Lytechinus pictus: one gene and its partner. The protein of the gene in region 1 purifies or fractionates together with the protein of each later gene. This does not show direct contact. Links are inferred from orthologs where the notes say so. Each region holds a gene or a part of one and is shown in the gene's direction. Other genes may lie near its edges. The genes, in order: cytochrome c oxidase subunit 6B1-like and mitochondrial intermembrane space import and assembly protein 40-like.

The links.
Region 2: the proteins of cytochrome c oxidase subunit 6B1-like (region 1) and mitochondrial intermembrane space import and assembly protein 40-like purify together in Homo sapiens (co-immunoprecipitation; 3 studies listed by BioGRID and IntAct, with this or other methods). This does not show direct contact. The link is inferred for Lytechinus pictus from reciprocal best matches to the Homo sapiens genes COX6B1 and CHCHD4.

What each region holds. Positions count from the first base shown.
Region 1 is NC_087254.1:36,808,561-36,820,674, reverse strand, and holds cytochrome c oxidase subunit 6B1-like, read left to right. Parts: upstream 1-6,234; 5' UTR 6,235-8,587; coding exon 8,588-8,782; intron 8,783-10,776; coding exon 10,777-10,830; 3' UTR 10,831-11,739; downstream 11,740-12,114. UniProt on the Homo sapiens protein: Component of the cytochrome c oxidase, the last enzyme in the mitochondrial electron transport chain which drives oxidative phosphorylation.
Region 2 is NC_087247.1:23,670,492-23,681,938, reverse strand, and holds the start of mitochondrial intermembrane space import and assembly protein 40-like, read left to right. Parts: upstream 1-5,814; 5' UTR 5,815-5,891; intron 5,892-6,135; 5' UTR 6,136-6,221; coding exon 6,222-6,243; intron 6,244-7,924; coding exon 7,925-8,017; intron 8,018-8,851; coding exon 8,852-9,162; 3' UTR 9,163-11,447.

The sequences.
Region 1 (12,114 bases):
TATGTTATGTTCATATGGAACAATTAATAGTATTATACTGGCATTATTTTTATTTTTTTATTCCATCTCTGGACGTCTCCGAGCTCCGAGAAAAGAAGCACAATGCGCATGCGCGTTCGATGACGTCTGACATATTTTCCATTCATGAAATCAGAGCCCAAAGTTGGGCACAAACAAGCCTCAAATTGATGGAAAAAAAATCAAACATAATTTTTCTGTTTTGTCATGTACAATGTAAAATATTATTATATGGTGATATTACGATCTCAAAAGAGTTTCTACATGTTGACAATGTTCGATAATCAATCCTGACGTGATGATTTTTTTTTTTTTAAACTAGTGCACTCACTCAAGTCGATCGTCATGTGATGTCCGCCATTGAAAATTGAAACGAAATACAAACGTTTCACATCAAGCTCTAAAATCATATTAATGATTATCATATGCAAATTATTGTTAAATATTACGATTAAATCATGTATCTATGGTCATGATATTAATATTGTTCATGAAAAGCAAGATTTACTTTACGTTGATCGCATCAATTTCCGGCCATTTTCTGATTTGATTAAAGCACGGTACTGCGCATGCACGATGAATGGCGACTTCCATTCATAAATTCATCGTGCATAAATTATCTCGGCACGAGCCGGGCAGACGAGTAAGACCCGAACTATGATCGAAATAAACTTCAAATTAATGGTGAATAGGCATCATAATTACACAATCGGTTTCATTTTGGGGGAAATATAAATGAAGTAAGTAGTAGTCAAGTTGGATATTACTGTTTATTTTGATGTTTGATTGTGTGAACCAAATGAATCGGCTGGCCGACATATTTTTTTTTTCTTCGATGCACCGATTTGGCAAAATCTGCACCGGAGTTCGATGACATCGATCGAACACCGATTTTAAAATCGATTCGACTCAGGCTTAATAGCATTAGAGTAAAGTGCCCAACTATCAGACAATTAGACTATTAAAAGCATAATTGGACCAAAACAAAAAACACAGTCATTGAATTAAATAAAAATCATGTGTATTTCCGTAAGTTAACTAATACAAATGTTGAATATTATTATTAATGTCATAAAAAATAGAAATTTTGAAAAAATATGGTAAATGTCACTCATTCAATGAACAAGGCTATTTTCTGGTTTTCTGGTACTATTCCCTGTATGGCAAAATACGGTTGGCAATGTTTGGATTATATTTTCTCTTGTTTGGGGAACAAATACTTGATTTTTTTACACTGCCAGTTTACATTGCAACTTGGTTCTTAAATAAATTGAAGTCTGTTGATTATTTTTTTCTCAATTAAAAAAATAGATTGGAAAATGAAAATTTTCTTGAAATTTGACTTTCCACCAATAGAGGGCCTGCCAAAAAATATGCCCAAAATTCAAGTTTTTGAGCGCTCCAGTGAATAAAAAAATGATCCCCACATTACTAAGGACAGTGATTTTCCGCGATCGCGGAAAACGGACGGAATTCACGGAAAGGGCCTTTTGAAACGGAAATACACACAACAGGAACAGAAATTACTCCAAAATCTCAACAAAATATGAATATAAAATGGCCACAAAACCCCAGAAAACACGATCTCACTTCACTATAATCATGACAATTCACACATCGTGACTGCACTCGATATCACCACTCTCGATTGTACCCCGCGCCAGTATCCGGCTGGCCGGGCTGACGCCGGGTTGGGCTTCACATGCACACATCCTTCGAACAACACGGTTGTGTGTTGCTGCCCTCTACGTTCAAAGATGTAACAGCACGATATCGAGGTCTTAAAATCAAAAATGGCGGATTGACGAAAGTCGTTGACTGCGGATAATGATGTCCAAAAAAAAAACCAAATTATCAATGAAATTTCATTTAACCGTAAAATAATGCTAATAATGTGAAAGGTGAGGATATATTCATGTCAAGTGTGTTTGTCAAAATATTTTGTGTACCCGCATAGATCCGATTAGAACAGATTCTATTGCGTTGTTGGTACAGTGGCAGATACAAATTTTGACCAGCGCGAGTGTTTTATTGCTATTCAATGGGTAAACAGAATTGTCACTTTTCCATGTGTACAAAGTCTATGGGGAAAAGGAATTTCCGTTTTCTGACATGCTGAAACGGAATTTGAGATTTTCTGAAACGGAAAAGGCAATTTTTTTTAACGGAAAATCACTGTCCCTACATTACAAATGAAAAAATAGATTGCAACTGTATGGAAATTACAATTTTTGGTTACAAAAGTGACTGAAATTTTCTGTTTGGGAGGAGTCAAGTTTTAAAAACCTTTTTTTTTTTTTCTCCTAAAATTTTCTACACTTTTTTGTATCTCATATGGAGGGGGTATACTATAGTGAAGCAAGGTGTAGTCCAGGGGCCCGTTTCTCAACACATGGACAAGTTAGTCATATCCTTATCCACCAACCACAGAGTTAGTTCCAATCTTACTAAACCTGTTTCTCGAAAGGCTTCTTAACTAGAATACCTTGATATCGATACTATTGGTAAAAAGAGCAGACGAGACGTAGCCTTAGTCACAAAATAGCATAATTTTCAAAAAGAAAAATTATGGCAAAATTGCAAATATTGTGATGAATTAGGAAATATATTTTTTTTAAATAATAGCACAGGTGAATTATGCATCATACATACTTAGACCATGAAGACTGGAGCATTCAGTTGCACATAAAATTAAATTATGAATAATTCATTTCATGACTAAAAAATCACTTGTGGACGTTGAGATGGGTACCCCCGGGATATCCAATTTTGATATTTTACGAAAGTAAACCATAACGGTTTTATTTGTAAAAATGACGATAATTGTACAGTCTTTTACGATTCCAAGCGTCATCAAAATATAGTTTAATGAAACATTTTTAATCATTGATACCGAAACATACAATATTTGACAAATTGTATGCATAAATTAGAGATAGAATTTATCCAACTGTATAGGGGTCTGAAAACAAAAAATACAAGTTCAGTTATGGATGGCCTGACGTGGTAGAATCTTTATCGATTAAATCATTTTAATATTTCAAAATGAATGGTTTTGTGGCGTTTTACCAACAGTTTTTATAGTTTCTTTGTATTACACTTATCATTGAATGCATTAATCCACTTGTTTTGTAATGTGATTTCAACCTCTATGATTGATTACGTAAGATTGTAATTTTCAAATTTCTAGGCGCTTTTGCATGTCATAGTCTACCCACGTGATACCACTACGTCATTAAGAAAGAAGTTATGACAGGTTCAGAGGTGTCATAAATATTTAGTGAGGTTGTTGTACCCGATCTTGGTAAAGAGGGCTTCGTGAAACGGTGAGCGGACAAGTCGCTCACTATCTCCGATTTAGTCAAGAAGTTAGACTTATGACGGTGTTGAGAAACGGGCCACAGCAGATTAAGCAGAACAACAGACGAATACATGTACATGTATATCTCCACTTGAGTTCATCTCAGTCTTTATTAGTATTACTTAGCCAAACTACATGTAAAGCTGAGCCTGAGTCAAGGCTTTTTGAGATTAAAACTCATTCACTAATGCGAAGTTATTCTCCATATTATAGTCTGAAACATCGCATATAAAATATAGCATCGGTTTGCCCCTTATTATCTCTTCTCCAAGTACTGTTACAGCGGAAATTATTCTAAATCAGCCAAGGAAAAATATACACATGGAGTGTTTATTTCCAATTCGTCCTATTGCCAACTCTTCTACTATCGTTTGGTCTACCATCAGTTCGTCCACTCACCACATGGTCTACTTTCATTTAGTCTAATGCCATTCCATCTATTAACCAGATGGTCCAATAGCCATATAGTCCATATAATTATTAAACTTAAGTTTTAATTGTGCAAAATGAATGAAAAGAAAATGGGTATTAGACCAACTGGTTATTAGACAAAATGGTAATAGACGAACTGGGGATTAGACGAAGTGATGGTTGTACCAAACGGTTATTGGACCAAATGGTTGTTAGACAAAATGTTGATGGACGGAATGGCATTAGATTAAATGAAGGTAGACCATGTGGTGACTGGACGAATTGGCAATTTACCACATGGAGGACTCTTTTTGTCTCACCTGCATAGCAGAGTGAGACTATATAGGCGCCGCTTTTCCGACGGCGACGGTGGCGGCGGCGTCAACACCAAATCTTAACCTAAGGTTAAGTTTTTGAAATGACAGCATAACTTAGAAAGTATATGGACCTAGTTCATGAAACTTGGCCATAAGGTTAATCAAGTATTACTGAACATCCTGCCTGAGTTTCATGTCACAAGACCAAGGTCAAAGGTCATTTAGGGTCATGTTGGGGGATCAACATCAAAATCTTAACCTAAGGTTAAGTTTTTGAAATGTCATCATAACTTAGAAAATATATGGACCTAGTTCATGAAACTTGGACATAAGGTTAATCAAGTATCACTGAAGATCCTGCATGAGTTTCACGTCATATGACCAAGGTCAAAGGTCATTTAGGGTCAATGAACTTTGGCCGAATTGGGGGTATCTGTTGAATTACCATCATAACTTTGAATGTATATGGACCTAGTTCATGAAACTTGGCCACAAGGTTAATCAAGTATTACTGAACATCCTGCCTGAGTTTCATGTCACAAGACCAAGGTCAAAGGTCATTTAGGGTCATGTTGGGGGATCAACATCAAAATCTTAACCTAAGGTTAAGTTTTTGAAATGTCATCATAACTTAGAAAATATATGGACCTAGTTCATGAAACTTGGACATAAGGTTAATCAAGTATCACTGAAGATCCTGCATGAGTTTCACGTCATATGACCAAGGTCAAAGGTCATTTAGGGTCAATGAACTTTGGCCGAATTGGGGGTATCTGTTGAATTACCATCATAACTTTAAAAGTTTATGGATCTGATTCATGAAACTTGGACATAATAGTAATCAAGTATTACTGAACATCCTGTGCAAGTTTCAGGTCACATGATCAAGGTCAAAGGTCATTTAGGGTCAATGAACTTTGGCCAAATTGGGGGTATTTGTTGAATTACCATCATAACTTTGAAAGTATGTTGGTCTAGTTCATAAAACTTTGACATAAGAGTAATCAAGTATCACTGAACATCCTGTGCCCATTTTAGGTCACATGACCAAGGTCAAAGGTCAATGAACTTTGGCCATAATGAGGGTATCTGTTGAATTACCATCATAACTTTGAAAGTTTATGGATCTGACTCGTGAAACTTGGACATAAGAGTAATGAAGTATCACAGAACATCCTGTGCGAGTTTCAGGTCACATGATCAAGGTCAAAGGTCATGTAAGGTCAATGAACTTTGGCCACGTTGGGGGTATTTGTTGAATTACCATCATATCTCTGTAAGTGTATTGGTCTAGTTCATAGAACGTGGAAATAAGAGTAACCAAGTATCACTGAACATCTTGTGCGAGTTATAGTAGTTTTCAAAGTCAGCACTGCTGCTATATTGAATCGCGTGATGCAGGTGAGACCGCCAGAGGCATTCCACTTGTTTAATGGTGCTGAACACTTTAAAAGACCAAGTGAAAATAAATATTATAAATTGAGATTGAACATACCAAAGCAGTTAAAGTTCTAGGCCTATCAAACAACTTCTGACATTTATCTATCAAGGCTAGACCTACATGTAGATCTAACATTAGACCTAGGCCTAACATTAGATAGATCCTGCCTACTGTTATCTCGTGTGGTGCCAACCTAGCACCGCAGAACTAAGTTAAAGTTAGGCTTAACCATTAGACCAAAAGCTTCGGGGATGATTTATATGCGATCGCGCAGCTAGAGCTGAAAATTACTGATAATACCCTTCAAGACATGCACATAATTCTGTATAAGCACTTGTCCTTTCCCTTTTCAATTTTATTTTTATTCTCTATTTTCCCCCTTTTCTTTCTTTCTCTTTTTCTCCCTATTCCCTTTATTTCCATCCCATTCTTTTCTCTTTTTCTTTCTTTTCTTTTCTTTTCCTCTTCCTTTCTTTTTTCTTCTTTTTCTCGTCCTCTCTCACCCCTTCCTTTTAATTTCCCATCTCCATTTCCCTATTTATCCCTCTTTTCTCTCTTTTCATTTTGCGTAAATAAAAAAGGGTTATTTCTTTCTCTCCTTCCTTTTTCTTTTTCCTCTTCTTTCCCCCCCCCCCCTCTATTATATCTCTTTTTTTCTCTTTCTCTCCTTTGTTTTATTTCTCCCTTTCCCTTCTTTTCCTTTCATTTTCTTTCCCATTTCCTTTTTAGGGGGTAACCCCCTGGATCCGCGCCTGTTTGAGCTTTGATAACATCCAATATTTGGATGGTGACGTTAAAGGTCTAGTCCCAGACAAAAATAATCATATCTGATTGATACACGTTTTTAAAAACTCAATCACACCCACTAGGTCCTGATGTGCAACCACAAAAAGTGTTTATACCCCCCACTGCGACGCCCCCTTATGTATGCCACTTGCCAGTGATCATAATCATTAACACCATCACCATCATCATCATGTGGTAGGACTGTATGGTAGCCTATCATTTTCTTAGATAAAAACTGTAATCATACTGAGATTCTAAACAGTCTTTGATCTAGACTCCAACTTATTATCTCTTAACACTGTATGCAATCCTTAAATCTGCATGTAAAGTTATATACATGTAACAAACAAACTAAAAAAAGTTAAAAGCTCTGGCCACACTGGTAAAAATGTTATGATTATGCTTGTGTTTACCTCAAACAGATGGCCAACCTCTCTCATGGCGAAATTGGGACTCGGAATGTTGTTGTTATCTTCTGGATACCATGCTTGACCAATCCATGCAGCTCAAGGTATTGTGCCATGTTCATCCGGAAGTATCAGTGAAACTTTTCTTGGTCTCTCTCCAATTCTCTGTATAGGACAGAATATTCTCCGTGTTCATCTCTCTTTTTGTTGATGTCGTGAATCCATTATCTCTTTGAGAGAACAACGCATGAACACGCTATTACAACAGCTTCATCTACTGCCTTCGTGGAGGCTGCCATTTTCTTTGCCTTTGGTTGTCATGGAAACATCGGACGGTTTTTGCCTGCCGGATGGCATCCGAGCACGGCTTTTAATGCCGTGCCGTGGGACAGTGGAAACGGGAAAACGGCATACCGTGCCGTATGCTGTGCCGGAAGGCCTATCATTAGTCTTTTATTAGAAGTCTAAATCCCCAGAAACAACGTTATATCTAACTGTTATGTTACTACGACTGAATTTACTAAAGCGTTGTTGGATCCAAACTGAGTGCTGTCTGTAGGCCCTAACGTTAACGAAGTTAGAATCTAGATGTACTATTTTCGGCCTTATATTTTAGCCTTATTTTCTTGTCTTCTAATATTTTCTAGGGCTCAGTTCTACAATATACAAAATGACACTACATGTAAGGCCTAGATCTATTTGTTGTTAATAAGTTGCTGACCCGACCACATTCAAGAATGGCCAGATCAATCCAGTTCCTTTAGAGTTGACTGTTGTCTTGATCACCTCTTTTCAGAGTAATACACATAGACCTATGTGTGCGATTTTGCATTTAACACGTAAACTCCCACAGACCATCACCGCAGGCGATCGGTCGCTTGATCAGAAGATTTGTGGGCAATTATGTAATATATCTGGGCTGTGATTGGCCAGAAGTGAAAAATGCCGTGTGCCGTTCTCTGAAAATGGCTTGATGATCGATCTGGAAATCCGGCAAATAACGCTGTATGGCACAACACGGCACGGCACCGGTGAAGTGGGAAAAGTTTCACAGGATTTAGTGGTGATCGATTTTTTGTTGTTGCTGTGCCGGATTGCTGTGGCCCCGTGTATGGTCGCCGTGCTAGATGCAGCTTCTTGTTGCTTGGTGGCCATTATATGGAATGGATGACCCTTGTACTGTGTTTGGCACACATTATCACAAGCAAACACAAAGGGAAGATGAGACACTTTGTTTGGTGATTTTACTGTTAGGAAAGATTGGATACTTTAGGGGAATTTGTGTATTAAAATGAATACGAATTCCCCCAAAATGTCCAGTCTTCCCCTTGTAGTGCCTTGTTTGTGGTCACATAGATCTTCCAAGCTTCAAGATCCAGGATGTCTTTTAGTTGCATGTTGTTTATTTCAGACCCTTTGTAGGGAGACACTGCACAACAGTACGAGAATACACCAAGGGCCCATTTTATATAAAAGAGTTTGCAACTAATGTACCTAACACATTTGCCATTGTGGCAACTACATGTACCATGGTAACAGGGCTCAGCAGCCTATCAAAATCAAGCTTTCCATGGTAGTTACACTCATGGTACAGATGGTGGCCGTACTTTACATGTATGTAAAGAATTATAAAGAACAAGTTCAGACCACTGTACACGGTAGGTTGCAGATAATGTATGCCTGTCTTGTTTCGCAAAATGGTAGGGGAGAGATGATTAATTTTCCTCCTTGGCTGCAAGATCAACATTTGAAAATTAAGGAAAAAAAATACTTTGATCTATTCATCTGTTTATTTACCTTTTCCTCTCTCTTTCCATTTACTCTGTATCATTCTAAATAGCACAATATGTCGGAATTCAAGGAAATTCTTGAGAACTACAGGACTGCACCTTTTGATGCCCGCTTCCCCAACACAAACCAGACCAAGAACTGCTGGCAGAACTATGTAGATTTCCACCGTTGCCAGAAAAAGAAGGGAGATGACTACGAGCCTTGTGAATACTTCAGGAGAGTCTACAAGTCATTATGTCCACTTGCATGGGTGAGTATAATTATCTTAATGATATATATGGACAGGCCTCGATCTATGATCTATTATATTACATCTATTGCCCAAATTTGATCATATAAATCAGATATCAGCCAAGCTTTATATGAGTCTATTAAACTGCTGTTACACATGGACATTTCATTGTCTGCTATTAAACATGTGTCTGATTTCAAGATGTTGGTATAAAAAAATCATTTTGTTTTGTGAACAGATACATGTATGTAATTTTAGATAATTAGGTAGAGTACAAAATGATGCTTGTTGCATATTGACTTTGATGTGTATGGTGTTCAATGCAATTCCTGTGAAGTGCCAGCTCAATGCCATGTACATACATGTACATGGCGCTGTACACTGTAAAGTGCAATTCAATCCAAGTTCCTTGTGTTCACAAGCTAAATATCTCTTTTACATAAAAAAGTGGTCATTTTGCCTCCAAAGAAGATTCTGCTAGGATCGAAAGCTTAGGCCCCTTTTGACTCTCTAATTTACTCCATTGGCTCTCTTTTATTAGATAAGCAGTTTTCAGCAGCTTCTTTCTGCCATAAAAAAATTAGTAGTAGAAATCCTCTTATTTCTACCCCCTCCACCTCCCCCCCCCCCCACCTCTTTTCCCCTCAAAGATATGGTATACTTCTTATTCTGCCAGAAGCACACATTTCTGCTTTTCCAAAGTAATTTTACCCCATTATGAACTGTGGTACTGCTAAGCAAAAAAAAAAAAAGTTCACAGAATTTAATGAAATTTAATAAGCAAAATTATGGAAACTGTAAAGAAGTAATATTCACTCAAAGGTTTTTCTCAGGAAAATAATTAGAGTGTATTAAGCAACTGAAAATCAGAAAAATTACTGAAAAATACCCATCCATTTTGTGTGGTCCCTCATGTTTTTTCCTGTGTTAATGCATATACATGTAGCTACACTAGGAAAAGCGTGTGGAAAATTAATTGAATACAATTTCAAGCAAGCCTGAATTACTTTGGTTAAACTTTGTTCTAAAGATAAGCATTTTGGCATGTGACAGAGATTTCTGGGGCCCGTTTCATGAATAATAATAATAATAATATAGGGTATTTATATTGCGCACATATCCACCTTGTTAGGTGCTCAAGGCGCTCCTACATTACCCATTACTCATTCCACATGAAGAGTTACAACTGTTGTAACTTTGCCATTATGGCAACTACCATGGATTGGTAACCTTGATTTTGATTGGCTACTGATCCCTGTTGCCATGGAAGTTGCCATAATGGCAAAGTTCCAACAGTTGTAACTCTTTATGAAACGGGCCCCAGTATTGCTTCCAATCATTTCCTATCGAAATTAGATCTCTATACCAGAACTTGAACTTAGCTTTAATACAAATGTTTTTCAGATCTAAAGACTCTCCTTGTACCCTTTCCCAACAACGCATTGGTACATGTAGTTTTCTCTTTCATCTTTTCTTTACATCCTCATCCTCATGACACGAGAACATTCCTCATTCCACAATCACAAAATTGTTTACTGTTTTTGGTATGCTGCATTAGCAACAGCACCAGCTACAACAGCTATGGTGAGATGAAGCTTGCAAGCCTAGCAAGCGAAAGCTTACCAAAAAACAGGTAAATTTTGTGATTGTGAATTAACAATTTTGTCATGTCTGCTCACAAATCGGGGCCCCGTCTTACAAATAGTTATGATTGATCCGATCAATCTCAAGTATATGGAAATCCATCAATGTCAGAATTTTTCTTTTGGAAATTTGCTCTATGTCCTTTGAAAACAAAGAGAAGCATACTGAATTGTCAAGAAAATATTTTGAACAAACATATATTTTAGATGTTGACGTTGCTGGCTTTCCGTAGTTGCGATTGATCTGATCAATCGTAACTCTTTGTAAGACGGGCCCCAAATGAACCTTTTCAGTGATCCTCATGACAAACCATTGATCCCTTTTATCGTTGTTTTAATACAATGAATCTGTGTGATCTTGGTTTACAGGTTGAGAACTGGGATACTCAGAGAGAAGAAGGGACATTTGCATCCAAGATATGATGTGCCACTTGACCTGTAGATACCATCAGATGTTTATATTCTACTAGAGTTTAGCACCGTTGTTCCTGTACCTCTATGAGTTGACAAGCCAAAGTGAAAAACACATTCATCATCATCTTAATCTGACGTCAGAAAAATTTAATGCATCGGACTAATTATCTTGATTCTAGAACATTATGTGCATACACGCACCAGACCATAATCCTTATTGCCCTATTTTGGAAATATATAACTCTAAAATCAATCCTAAGTAAATAAGATATACATTTTTCTTGCACATTGTTATGCAATATTTTTGCAAGATGGAGATTTATTACAGTGGTTCGTAACAAAATTAGAATTTGAAAGCATTTTTTGTCATTGCCCATCTAAGAACATGAGGTTCTTCTCAAATGAATTCTTTGAATTTTATCATTTGTTGGTTGTGTTTTTGTAAATACTACCTGAGCAAATTGTTCTTCACTACTCAGGTGTGTTGTGCTTACTGTTGATTCTGATTAATTAAATTATCGTATGAGGTGAAGAAATATGAGTTTAAAACTGATATTTGAATAAATTTTGAACTCTAAATACTCTTTGAAAAATCTCAATCTTTGCTGGGGTTGTCTCAGATGTAAAGCATTGTATATGTTAAGGCAATTCCATAAAATATGTAATCTGATACCCTAAATGTGGGAACTCCATGAAGTGATCTTTCTTTGTTTCCAACTTCATATGAAAAGTCATACTCTCAGATTATCATGGCTTGTGCAGTTCCTGATCTCAAGTAAAAGAACCAAGAAACTTAGGGGTCAGATGTTGAATCTTTTATGAAATTGGCCATTATTTCCCCAAAAAAGGCAGTTACAGTAGGTTGCCCAGATCATTGTTTTAAGCTTCGGGTTGATATAAACAAAGGGTACACAGAGATATGAATGAATAGTACGTTTGATTTTTGTGTTGGTGTATGTGAGAGAGAGCAGAGGGTGTAAAAAAAAATGGAACAAACAAGAGAGAGAAAGAGATAGAAATGGGGAAAGATGAAAAGAGAAGGAACAAGCTGGGAAAGGAATGAAATGAGATATTATATAGATGACAATACAAAGAGAAAGAAAAGGAGACAAATTAGCAGAATATCAACTTTTAATGTCCATCGAGCTTAAAGCTGAAAATATGGATGGAAAAACTATTCCAACTTTTCAAATAATTTCCCCTACTTAAATTTGTTGTTGAAATTGATTTCATGAAAAGTGTACATGTAGTACCGATTCAAGATGAGGCAAATTCACAGGTACAACCTAATAC
Region 2 (11,447 bases), on another chromosome or scaffold:
AGACTTTGAAACAGAGGGTCGTGGGTTCAAATCCCAGCCATGGCGGAAATTCCTTCAGCAAGGAATTCATTCACAGTGTGCTGCACTCGATCCAGGTGAGGTAAATGGGTACCGGCAGGAAGTAATTCCTCAAAAAGCTGTGTGCACCTGAATACGGTAGGTACATGTAGCCTAGCTTAGCCAGGTAATGATAATAGCAGGGCCCACTGGGAGAACAGTTTTCAGAACTGAATTGGCTACCCTGGGTAAATATACCGTTATTATTACTTCTGCATCAATTTTTTATTACATTAATTACTATAATCAGATAAATATTTATGCAAAGTAGTTTTTTAACTGTAACTCAGTAATAAAATGAATATGGAGGCTGATACTGTATATGAAATATAAATAGTGGCTTTCATGACAAATGTACATGTATGGTGCCAAAATCTAATTACTCATTAGGTAGGGGCAAAGTTGGGGATTATTATAGGAACACACACCTCTAACTGTACTTTGAAGTATTTAACTATACCATACAATAAAAATTAAAGGTCAGAACTGAATGAATGAAAGGGTAAATTATGCTAAAAACTAATGAACATTGTTGTCAAACATGAGATACAAACAAAGTGTGGTACCGTACCCAATAAAATGCACCTAGCACGTAAAACAAAAATACAAATTGGGTAATCAATTTGGCAACTTCTTATATTGCAGTTAACACATTTCCTGTTCCAAATAGCACCTTCAATTTTGTTCCAACTAACCCCAGAGGCCCATGTGACATTTACAAGCTTACAGCATAGAGCTCTCTTAATAGCTCCATGCTTACAGCATGAAAAAGGGACTTCATCATGGCATATTAACAACCTTATTTTGTAGCTTGCCTTGTTACAGGTACAAGTGTCTATTAGGCCCAAGGTGACCAACTTGATCTACCAGTATAAACTTCTCTGAGATAATAAAAAATTTCTGAAAGAAAAAAAAAATACTCAGAAGGTGAAACAAGTGGAGCGCCTCTGGCAGTTTCACCTGCATCACACGATTCAATATAACAGCAGTGCTGACTTTGAAAACTATTATAACATAATTATTCATAAAAAAACACAATTCATATAATGATACAATACTATATTCATTGACAATAAATGACATTTGACCTTGATCATGCGACCTAAGACTTGTCAGTGATACTTGATTACCCCTATATCCACATTTAATAAACTATATCTACATTGTATAAACTTTGAAGTTTGAAAGTTATGACAACAATCTAATAATTACCTCCAAAATGGCCAAAGATCATTGACCTTAAATGACCTTTGACTTTGGTCATGTGACCTGAAACATGCATGAGATGTTCAGTGATACTTGATTACTCTTATGTCCAAGTTTTATGAACTAGACCAATACACTTACAGAGTATGATGGTAATTCAACAAATACCCCCAACTTGGTCACAGTTCATTGACCCTAAATGACCCTTGACCTTGGTCATGTGACTTGAAACTCATGCAGGATATCCAGTAATACTTGATTACCCTTATGGCCAAGTTTCATGAACTACATGTAGGTCCATATACTTTCAATGTTTTGACGAAATTTCAAAAACTTAACTTTAGGTTAAGATTTTGATGTTGATTCCCCCAACATGGTCTAAGTTCATTGACCCTAAAGACCTTTGACCTTGGTCATGTGACCTGAAACTCAAGCAGGATGTTCAGTAATACTTGATTAACCTTATGTCCAAGTTTCATGAACTACATGTAGGTCCATATACTTTCTAAATTTAGTTATGCTGTCATTTCAAAAACTAACCTTAGGCGGGGTGGCGAAAAAGCGACGCCTATAGTCTCACTCTGCTATGCAGGTTAGACAAAAAACAAACATTTCTTTCTAACTTCACCAGGCTTGTTGCACATGTGTTGTCTGTAATATGGTGGACGGCTGTTGCTAATGGCAATAAGTGTTAAAGAAAATTACAATGTTTCAACTTACCCCACATTCCAACTAACCCCAATCTCCCCTACATGGTTTACATCATCAATTTTTAGACTGATAGAAGAATGAAAAAGGAGTGATGTACATGTAGTTGCTGATCACTGGAGTACATCTACATATATATGTAAGTTCATGTTTTTGCATCAATTATGCTTATTTATGACAAAAAGTGTACAGAGAGTGAATTGACGGACCAATTCCTATGGGATGAACCTGATGTTCATCACTTTCGTGTAATGTAGCAGTAGTGTATGTAGACTGTGTATTGTAGTGGAGCGTACACGAACCATTGCCTAAGGTAACCTTAACCAACCCTAAACATGTTGGCAATAGATTTGTGCTAACTAATTTTAATTTCTTTTAAGCTGCATGTTCCATCACTCTTTCCAATATTATGCTTATGTTCTATCGATGCGCTGTCGATGGCAATACACATTGTAAACCTCACGCACGGTATACCTTGAGTCTAACTGTCAACGATCACCAACAAATAGTACACCACACCTTTAACATTCGATCAAAGGCATGGACGAGATTGAAATTCGGCAAATCAGGCCCATATTTCCAACAGAAAAATACAAAAAGTATGTTACGATATTTTTAATTCTAAGCATTTTCTGTCTTTTTGGAGATACAAGGTAAAAGTTTGATTTTTTTCGACTTGTTTTTGTAAATCTTGTTCCATTTATTGCTCTCTGAAATTAAACTGCGGAAGTCATACGCCACAAAATCGTGTTTGTACGCAGTAAATGGCGCATCCGGAATCATGATACTAGTGGTCGGCGGCAAGGCGGTAATACAATGCTCGACTATTATATATGTAGCCATTTCTCTTATCTGCTTATGACCAAAAGCGTTTATCAATTTTAGTTAGCAACATTATTCCTTGCAGTTGCACCAACAAATGACCACGTTTGAAAAAAAAGATTGTCTCACACTGCAATGCACTCTGTTGCGCATTGCTTGGCTCCCTGCATGCCCGGGGGGGGGGGGGGGGGGGCACTCAGTATACATGTATAATGCATTGTGGGTAGGTGCTGCGGAGAGGACCCCCCTTTTTACACTCAAATTTACGTTCCAAGGCATAGCATTTTTATCTTATTGAGAAAAAAAAAGAAAGCCGCTCCAAAGCATAGCATTTTCTTCTTATTGAGAAAGAAGAAAGAAATCAGTTCCAAAGCTTCGCATACCGTATATTTCGTTACGCCGTTCCGGCTGCAATGATCCGCTACAATTAGCTGCATTTTTGGTGAAAAGCGGCCGCAGATCGCTGTCCGACCATCGCCTCTGCGCAAGCGCACCCGGCACCCGTACTAGCTGCATGCACGTATGCCCATTCCATAGGGATGCATATGCACTCACACGCAGGCGACCCGTTCCAAGGACCCCAGTTTTCACAAACATTTGTAGTTCCGAAGCCGTTCGGTTCTGAGGACCCTCCTCTTTACAATAAGCCCGCTCCACAGCCCCCGTTTTTTGTCTCGCCCGTGGCACATACCTACCACTTTTTTGGTCGAGTACCCCCCCCCCCCCCAGCCAGGCGGCTTCTTGAGAGTAAAAATCATTTACTAACGTAGGCTTACTCTAAACGAAGCCAGGGAGTCCTCCCTATTCATCTGCATGTACCGCAAAAAACCCTGAAACTTTCGCCCCCGAGATTTCTACTTTCCTTCTAAAAGATCTCATGTACATGGGATAAAACTTCATTTCCGACATTTCTACGCTCTCGTTGTTATTTTTAAACAAGAATTCATTTAAAAAAATGAAAAAATATTGTGAAAAGACGGAAGAGACTTGCCCGATGTTTACGCCGCCATCTTTTTTCTTATTGTACTTCCCCAATGTTATGGACGCGTTAATGTACATGATTTAGAGCTAGATCTTTTAGAAGGAAAGTAGAAATCTCGGGGGCGAAAGTTTCAGGGTTTTTTGCGGTACACGCAGATGAATAGGGAGGACTCCCTGGCTTCGTTTAGAGTAAGCCTACGTTACTCGTTAGTTAATGATTTTTACTCTCAAGAAGCCGCCTGGCTACCCGGGCCTGCATGGTCTGGGATTGGGAGTGAAGCAATTATTGTATGACACAAAGATCTATCGATCTTACAGTGACACACAGAGACACAAATAGTTCCAGCCAATCCGCTTCCGAAATTCAGAAAAAAATATTTGCATCTGACAGATCATGCATGATGATTGATGCAATGTCAAGATGTCTGTGAGTGTGATCAAAGTTCAAAATCAAACTTTCAAATTGTGCATTGTGAAAGTTTGTTTTTTAATTTGCCTCACATTATAGTTTATACAATTTACAAGTCAAAATAATATATTGATCTCAAACTCCCTGAAAATAATTGTCTTATCTGGTAAAAAATCCGCACAGTAAAGGGAGTAAAGCCTTCGGCTTGGCCTCCAGCCTAAGTTTTTTAGGCCTGCCTTCAGCCACTCACGATCACAGAGTCACACGTATTGCGAGGTTTTAGTATTCAGGGGCCCGTTTCACAACACCGTCATAAGTCTAACTTCTTGACTAAATCGAAGATAGTGAGCTACTTGTCCGCTAACCGTTTCACGAAGCCCTCTTTGCCAAGATCGGGGACAACAACCTGACTAAATATTTATGACACCTCCGAACCTGTCATAACTTCTTTCTTAATGACGTAGTGGCATCACGTGGGTAGACTATGACATGCAAAAGTGCCTCGAAATTTGAAAATTATAATCTTACGTAATCATTCATAGAAGTTGAAATAACATCACAAAACAGGTGTGATAGATCATTCAATAATTTTTGTAATGCACAGAAACTATAAAAACTGTTGGTCAAACGCAACAAAACCATTCATTTTGAAATAGTAAAATAATTGAATCGATAAAGATTCTACCACGTCAGGCCATCCATAACTGGACTCGTATTCGTCGTTCTCAGACACTTATCAACATTTTTGATAAATGCTATCTCTAATTTATGCAAAAAATTGTCAAATCTTGTGTTTCGGTATGTAAACATTTAAAATTTATGTTAAACTATATTTTGATGATGTTTGGAACCATTAATAAACTCATAATTATCACAAAGAAAACAACTGTGGTTTACTTTCGTAAACTATCCAAATCTACTATCCCGGGGATACCCATCTCAATGTCCACATGTAAGTTTTTAGTCATGAAATTGAAATGAATTATTCATAATTTGATTTTCTCAGCAAATGAATGCTCCAGTCTTCATGGTTTAAGTATGCATGGTACATATTTTGCCTCTGCTATTATTTTGATTAAATGTATTTCCAAATTAATCACAATAATTGCAGTTTTATCATATTTTTACTTTTAAAAAATTGTGCTATTTTGTGACTAAGGCTACGTCTCGTCTGCTCTTTCAACCGATAGTATCGATATCAAGGTATTCTAGTTAGGAAGCCTTTCGTGAAACGGGTTTAGTAAGATTGAAACTAACTCCGTGGTTGGTGGATAAAGATATGACTAACTTGTCCAGGTAGGTATTAGTATACTAGCTCCTAGTCCTAGTAGCAGGAAAACACTTGCTTACCTCCGCCGGTCTGGCCCGGGGATGTTTCCTTCGAGTTCGTGCTGAGGGGTAGTAGAAGTGCGTTTCCCTTTGTCGTGGGATTTCCCATTTTCCTAAAACTGACGTCTGGTTGTGAATACAGTTTGATCTTCTAGTCCCAGTACACTATCTGATCCCCTGAATATATTTTTATTTTCTTTTAAACTACTCAAATTAAACAATTTACGATCGGTCGACCAGACGGTTACACATTATGGTCTGGTCATATGCCAACAAACGGTATACGATACGGCGTACGGTCGACCGGCCGGGATGCGGCGTATACGTGGCGACTCGCACCATTGCTTTCCATTCAATTTCGATTCGAGCTACCAATAGTGTAATGGTCTTTTGATCAGCAGCCCATTCACTAAATATGATAAAATCTATGCATAATGATAAGAAATCAATTTCCAGCCCCAGCATTTTATGATCATAAGAATCGATTATCATTACACTGAAATCCATTAAATACATAAAATGGCACCATTACTACATAATAAGAAATTATCATCTGGATTTAGTAATAAGATATAACCATTTTCCTGAACAAAAACTATTTACGGTAACACATGTGTGTGCAGGTATTTCTTACATCATCACTGTTAGCTGCTGCGTCTAAATACAAGTCGAATTCTTACAGAATTAGGGGAGAATTAGATAAACAACAATGTCGTATTGTCGCCAAGAGGGTATGTATAATGTTCTCAGATTATTCTCTTTTATGTTTTTAAAGCATGATTTGAAAAGGGTGTATTCTGAACTCTGAAGTATTTCTTCGCAACATTCTTCATCATCTACTTCATCATTCATGATGATGATTACGCCGTACTTCCCCGCGGTTGCCGGCTGCCCCAGCCTAGCCCCTGTCCAACGGCCCGTCCCCTTCCCGATCCCTGGGCCCTGGCGCGCTAGCGCTCAGGCAGCCTCAGCTTGTTTCACTGGCCCGTATTCTGAGGTCAGGTGTAACTTAGACTAAGGTTTAAAGTTGTGGTTTAAGTATGGGAAGCCAAATGTATCATTTTTTTTATTAAGTTGTAATTGTACATTTCCTATGTTTACTCACTCACACGTATTGCGAGGCTAGTACCTCGTATTACTATTAGTGTGAGTGGTATTAATAGTATACTAACCTCGCACCATGAACCGCGTGTGGCAGTGGATTTCTAACTAGCTAGTGGGTCTCGCGTGATGGGATCTCACTTCTGGTGTCCACAACACATGACTTCTATGGCTTGATTTTTCTGTGCGCGGCAGCATGTAATGAACCCTTGGGTGATGTTTACTGTGCTCTTTCCTGATTCATCGATGGTGAAGACAATCATCTATTTATACGTACTTTTTACACAATTATGAATGATTTGAGAGCAGAATGGGCTGAAGTATGATATCTCTACCGTTAGTGGTTTATGTAACAATTGGCTGTCCATACTTAAACCACAACTTTAAACCTGAGTTTAAGTTAAACCCGACTTCAGAATACGGGCCACTGAGTCTGAAGTGCGTGGAGCTACATGTAGCTGGAGCGCGATAGATACATGTACTGGGCGGACGTGCATTAACAACGTTTAAAAACAACGGGCATTAAGGTAAGGTGGGCCTGGCTGAGCAAATCATGTCACGTCACTCGTCGGTAGCCGAGTGCTGCATTATTTATATATTCACGGTTATTTTCAATTCCGTTAAACGCCTGACTTAGTTTTATATGGGGAGTCGAAACCGAACAGTTTTCGGATAAACAAAAACATCATGATCATTAGATCATACCTTTACTTTAGGCTTTGTTTTGCCAAAGACAGTTGCCACCTATACTGAAAGCAGTGTAAGCCGGTCTGGGTAGCCAAGAGGCTCCTTGAGAGTAAAAATATTTTACTAACGTATGCTTACTCTCCAACGGAGCCTGGGATTCCATCCCATTTATCTGCGTATACCGCCAAAAAACCTGAAACTTTGGCCCCCGAGATTTCTACTTATAAGATCTAGCCTTAAATCATGTAAATCGGATACAACTTCATTTCCGACATTTCTACGCTATCAATTTCATTTATAAACAAGAATTCATAAAAAAATGAAAAAAATATGAAAAGACGGGGGAGACTTGCCCGATGCTTACGCCGCCATCTTGTTTCTCATTGTCCTTCGCCGTTACTTTTCTCTCTCTTTCTCTTCCATTGCACCTTGGGCACTGTGCAGAGCGGATTTGGCGCATTACAAATCCCTTCTAAATACCAATCTTACTTTTGTAAATCACTGCAAGTACAAGCAGTGATGATCAGTAATATACAATGGCTTTTTGTACAAACAAAACTTATTGTAGACATGTTTCTGTGTTCTTACGTTGATCTTTGTGATTATTTTTTTTATTATTATCAGGGAAGGACCAAGTTCTCTTCGTCACAAAGGAGGACCATGAAACCCCCATCAAGGAGGAACTCAAATATCTTGCTGAGGAAGAAGAACCAGAAGGTACATAATATCTTGTTGATACTCGACTAAATCACCCAAGACTTTACTGATGTGACGTTACCATATTGCTTCTAGACTGATGGTACAGAAAGGATACATTATCTGGAAAAAGGAATTATGTAAACAAATGTTTGCAACCATGTCCATGATATTTTGTGTTACCACACCCTTAAAAATCCTAGCTAATGATATTTGTTTGAAAGTAAACTATCTGTAATGGCAGCTTGTGGGCATTCCAGCAGTAAGATGTAAACTAGAAATTAGGGCGAAGTCAAAATTTTAAACGTCATTCTAACAACATTTTAAGAGGTTCATTTTTTCCTACTACAACTGTGTGACCGTATTGAAGAAAAAAAAAACACTTCCCAAAATGTTGCTGAAATTCTACAGATCAATATTGTACATATTGTAGTCCCACATGTAGACTTTCATGTAGGTAGATCGAGTGTGACATCGATTGAAAACAATCTTTCATTGTCAAGAAAGATGGGAGACTCTCTGATTCTCTTGATAATTCCCAATTAAATCAAAAGAATTTCAAGGAAATATGGAAAATAAGTAGGCCAGTTCAATTTCATTTATATGTAGCGGTGAAAAGTGTAATTTCAGCAACTTATGGGGACGTTATTTTTTCTTTTATCCTTGCCAGTTAGCATTTAAGAGTTTTTCAAAATAAATGTAATGACTAGGGACTATATGAAATATATGTTAAGAATTCCATTTTACTTATCAAACTTTAAGGCAAGATAATGTTTTTTGTACTTTAAAATTGAATGCATGTACTAGTATTACAATTTTGTAGGTTTTACGGACACTGTTTATTGTATTTGACAGGTTTGATCCTTGCTAATGGGGATATCAACTGGAGTTGCCCTTGTCTTGGAGGCATGGCCAGTGGTCCCTGTGGTATGGAGTTCAGGGAGGCCTTCTCCTGCTTCCACTACAGCATGGCCGAACCCAAGGGGTCTGACTGCATAGACAATTTCCGGAAGATGCAGGAATGCATGGTCACCTACCCTGAACTGTACCCCATGAACGAGAAGTCAGATCCTAGTGAATCTGCGGACATTGTACAAGAAGCGTCTCAAGAAGAGATTGAAAAGGACCAAGCAAAAAGTGAAACGGACAAGGAGAATGTCAGCTAACGTGTAAGGATAGAAGAGGGAAAAAGCTCTGGACTTTTATACCTTTTTTACCTGTTATAATTGATTTATCCAATGAATAGGAATCATACTGCTGTTGAAGTCACCGACAAAAAATAACTTGGTGCTGATATGACTTCCCTGCTCGGTGAAGAAGATATGGCATTCTTTTGAAATGCAATTGCTTCGCTATGGCATTATATGGAATAACCCTAATTACATTCTCCAAACCAGTCACCAAAATTTGTAGAGTGTCTCAATTTCCACTTCTTAGCTGCGTCACATTATTGGCACTGTGGAGAATATGGCCAATACTTCTTGGGGTTTGCTGCAGGAGCCTATTTCATGTGCATTCAGTTGTTAATTTCAATTGCAAATTATTTTTGTTATTGCTTGGAACATCCATCGTTCAATTATTTCAAGAATTATGAATAATTATAGGATGTAAAATTGACTTGCAATTGAATGCAAGTTTCTTGCAGTACCCCCATACTTTACTTTGTTTACTAAACCTCATATTTTATCTGGGATTTGACAAAATTTAGTTCAAATTATTTTTTTTATAATGCAAGAGTAATAAATGAGTGCAGCTATAAGTAATGAGACCAATCACCAGGACATATTGATTCAATCAGAAATTCAATCAATTTCAGTGCTGTTTCATGGTGATGAATATCTGTATGTTATTACAGGGCTCGACACTAGCGGCGGTCCGACGGTCCCAGACCGGTAAAAATCGCTGTCGGGCCGGTAGATTTTCAAAAATAGGAAGATTTACTGGTCCGACATGACCAGTAAAAAATATCATTGTCGGGCCAGTAATTTTTCCAAAAATAGCAAGATTTTAAGGGTCCGACATGACCAGTAATGAAAACCATTGTTGGGCCAATAACTTTTCCAGAAATGGTCAAATTCACTGCAAACCATTTCCCCCCGACAAATTCTGTCATTCACACACAGAATACACACAGAATGAATTGCACGTAAGTGTTACTAGAGTAGATACAGTGTACATGTAGCCAGCCACACAACCCATGTGGTAAATTCTCTACTGGCTGCGCGAACGAAACTTTGCTAAACTCTGGCAGAAATCTCTCACAGAACTATCAAAATTCACGGTTCATACTCATGAAAGGCTCTTATAATGTCCATATTTCCTAAAAATTGGAGTAACTCTGTCATTTGTAAGCAGTAAAAGGAGAAATTTTCACTTCTGTTTGGTTCAAACAGATCGGGTTTCGGGTGATATCGTCTGAATACATATTAGCCCCACATATGCATTTATGTGTGTGTTGATACACTTGGTTTCTGACTTTCTTTCGTAGCTATTTTAATTGAGCCAAAAAGATACTGATAAATTATTTATCATGATAGTTTTAGCTTTCTTCCTCTGTTTTCTTCCTATCTTTCTTTCCTTCTTTCTTTTCAATCTTTCTTTGTTTCTTCCCTCTCTTCTTTCATTTTTTTGGTACTGTCTTTTTTTTTTATTTTCCCTTTTTTTCTTTAATTCGTTCTTTCATTCTTTCTATCCGTATAAAAAATATTTTTCTCTATTTCTTTTTTCTCTCTCTCTCTTTCTTTTTTCTTTCTTTTTTTTCTTTCTTTCTTTCTCTCTTTCTTCCTTCCTTCCTTCCTTTCTTTCCTTCCTTCTTTTTACCCTTTTCTTTCCTTCATTCTTCGTTACTTTCTTTGTTTCTTTCTTCCTTCCATCCATCATTTATTTACCCTTTCTTGTTTTTTTTTATTTCTTCCTTCTTTCAGCTCTCTCTTTCATTCATTCCTTCCTTTCTTCTATCTGTCTTGTTCTTTCCTTTTCCCTTTGTTAAATCTATCCTTTTACCTTTCCTTTCTTCTTTTTTTGACTGCTTGCTTCCTTTCTCTCCTTTATTCTTTCATTCCTTCCTTTCTTTGTCTCTCAGTCTTTTTTTTTTCTTCCTTTCATCTATTCTTTTACTTTTTCTTTTTATATTGCTTGCTTCTTTCCTTCCTTCCCTTCCTTTATTTATTTCTTTCCTTCTATCTATCATTTTACCTTTCCTTTATTTCTTCCTTGATTCCTTTCTTCCTTCTTTCAATCCTTCCTTCCTCTCTTTCTTTCTTTTGTCCTTCTTTCCATCTCTCCTTATACCCTTTCTTTTGTATTGCTTCTTCTTTCTTTCCTTTACTACTTTCTGGATTTGTTCTTTCTTTCTGTATTGCTTGCTTCATTTCTTTCCTTCATTTCTTTTTTCTTTTCTTTCTTTCTTATTTTTGTTCCTTCTTTATTCCTTCCTTCCTTTCCTTCTTTA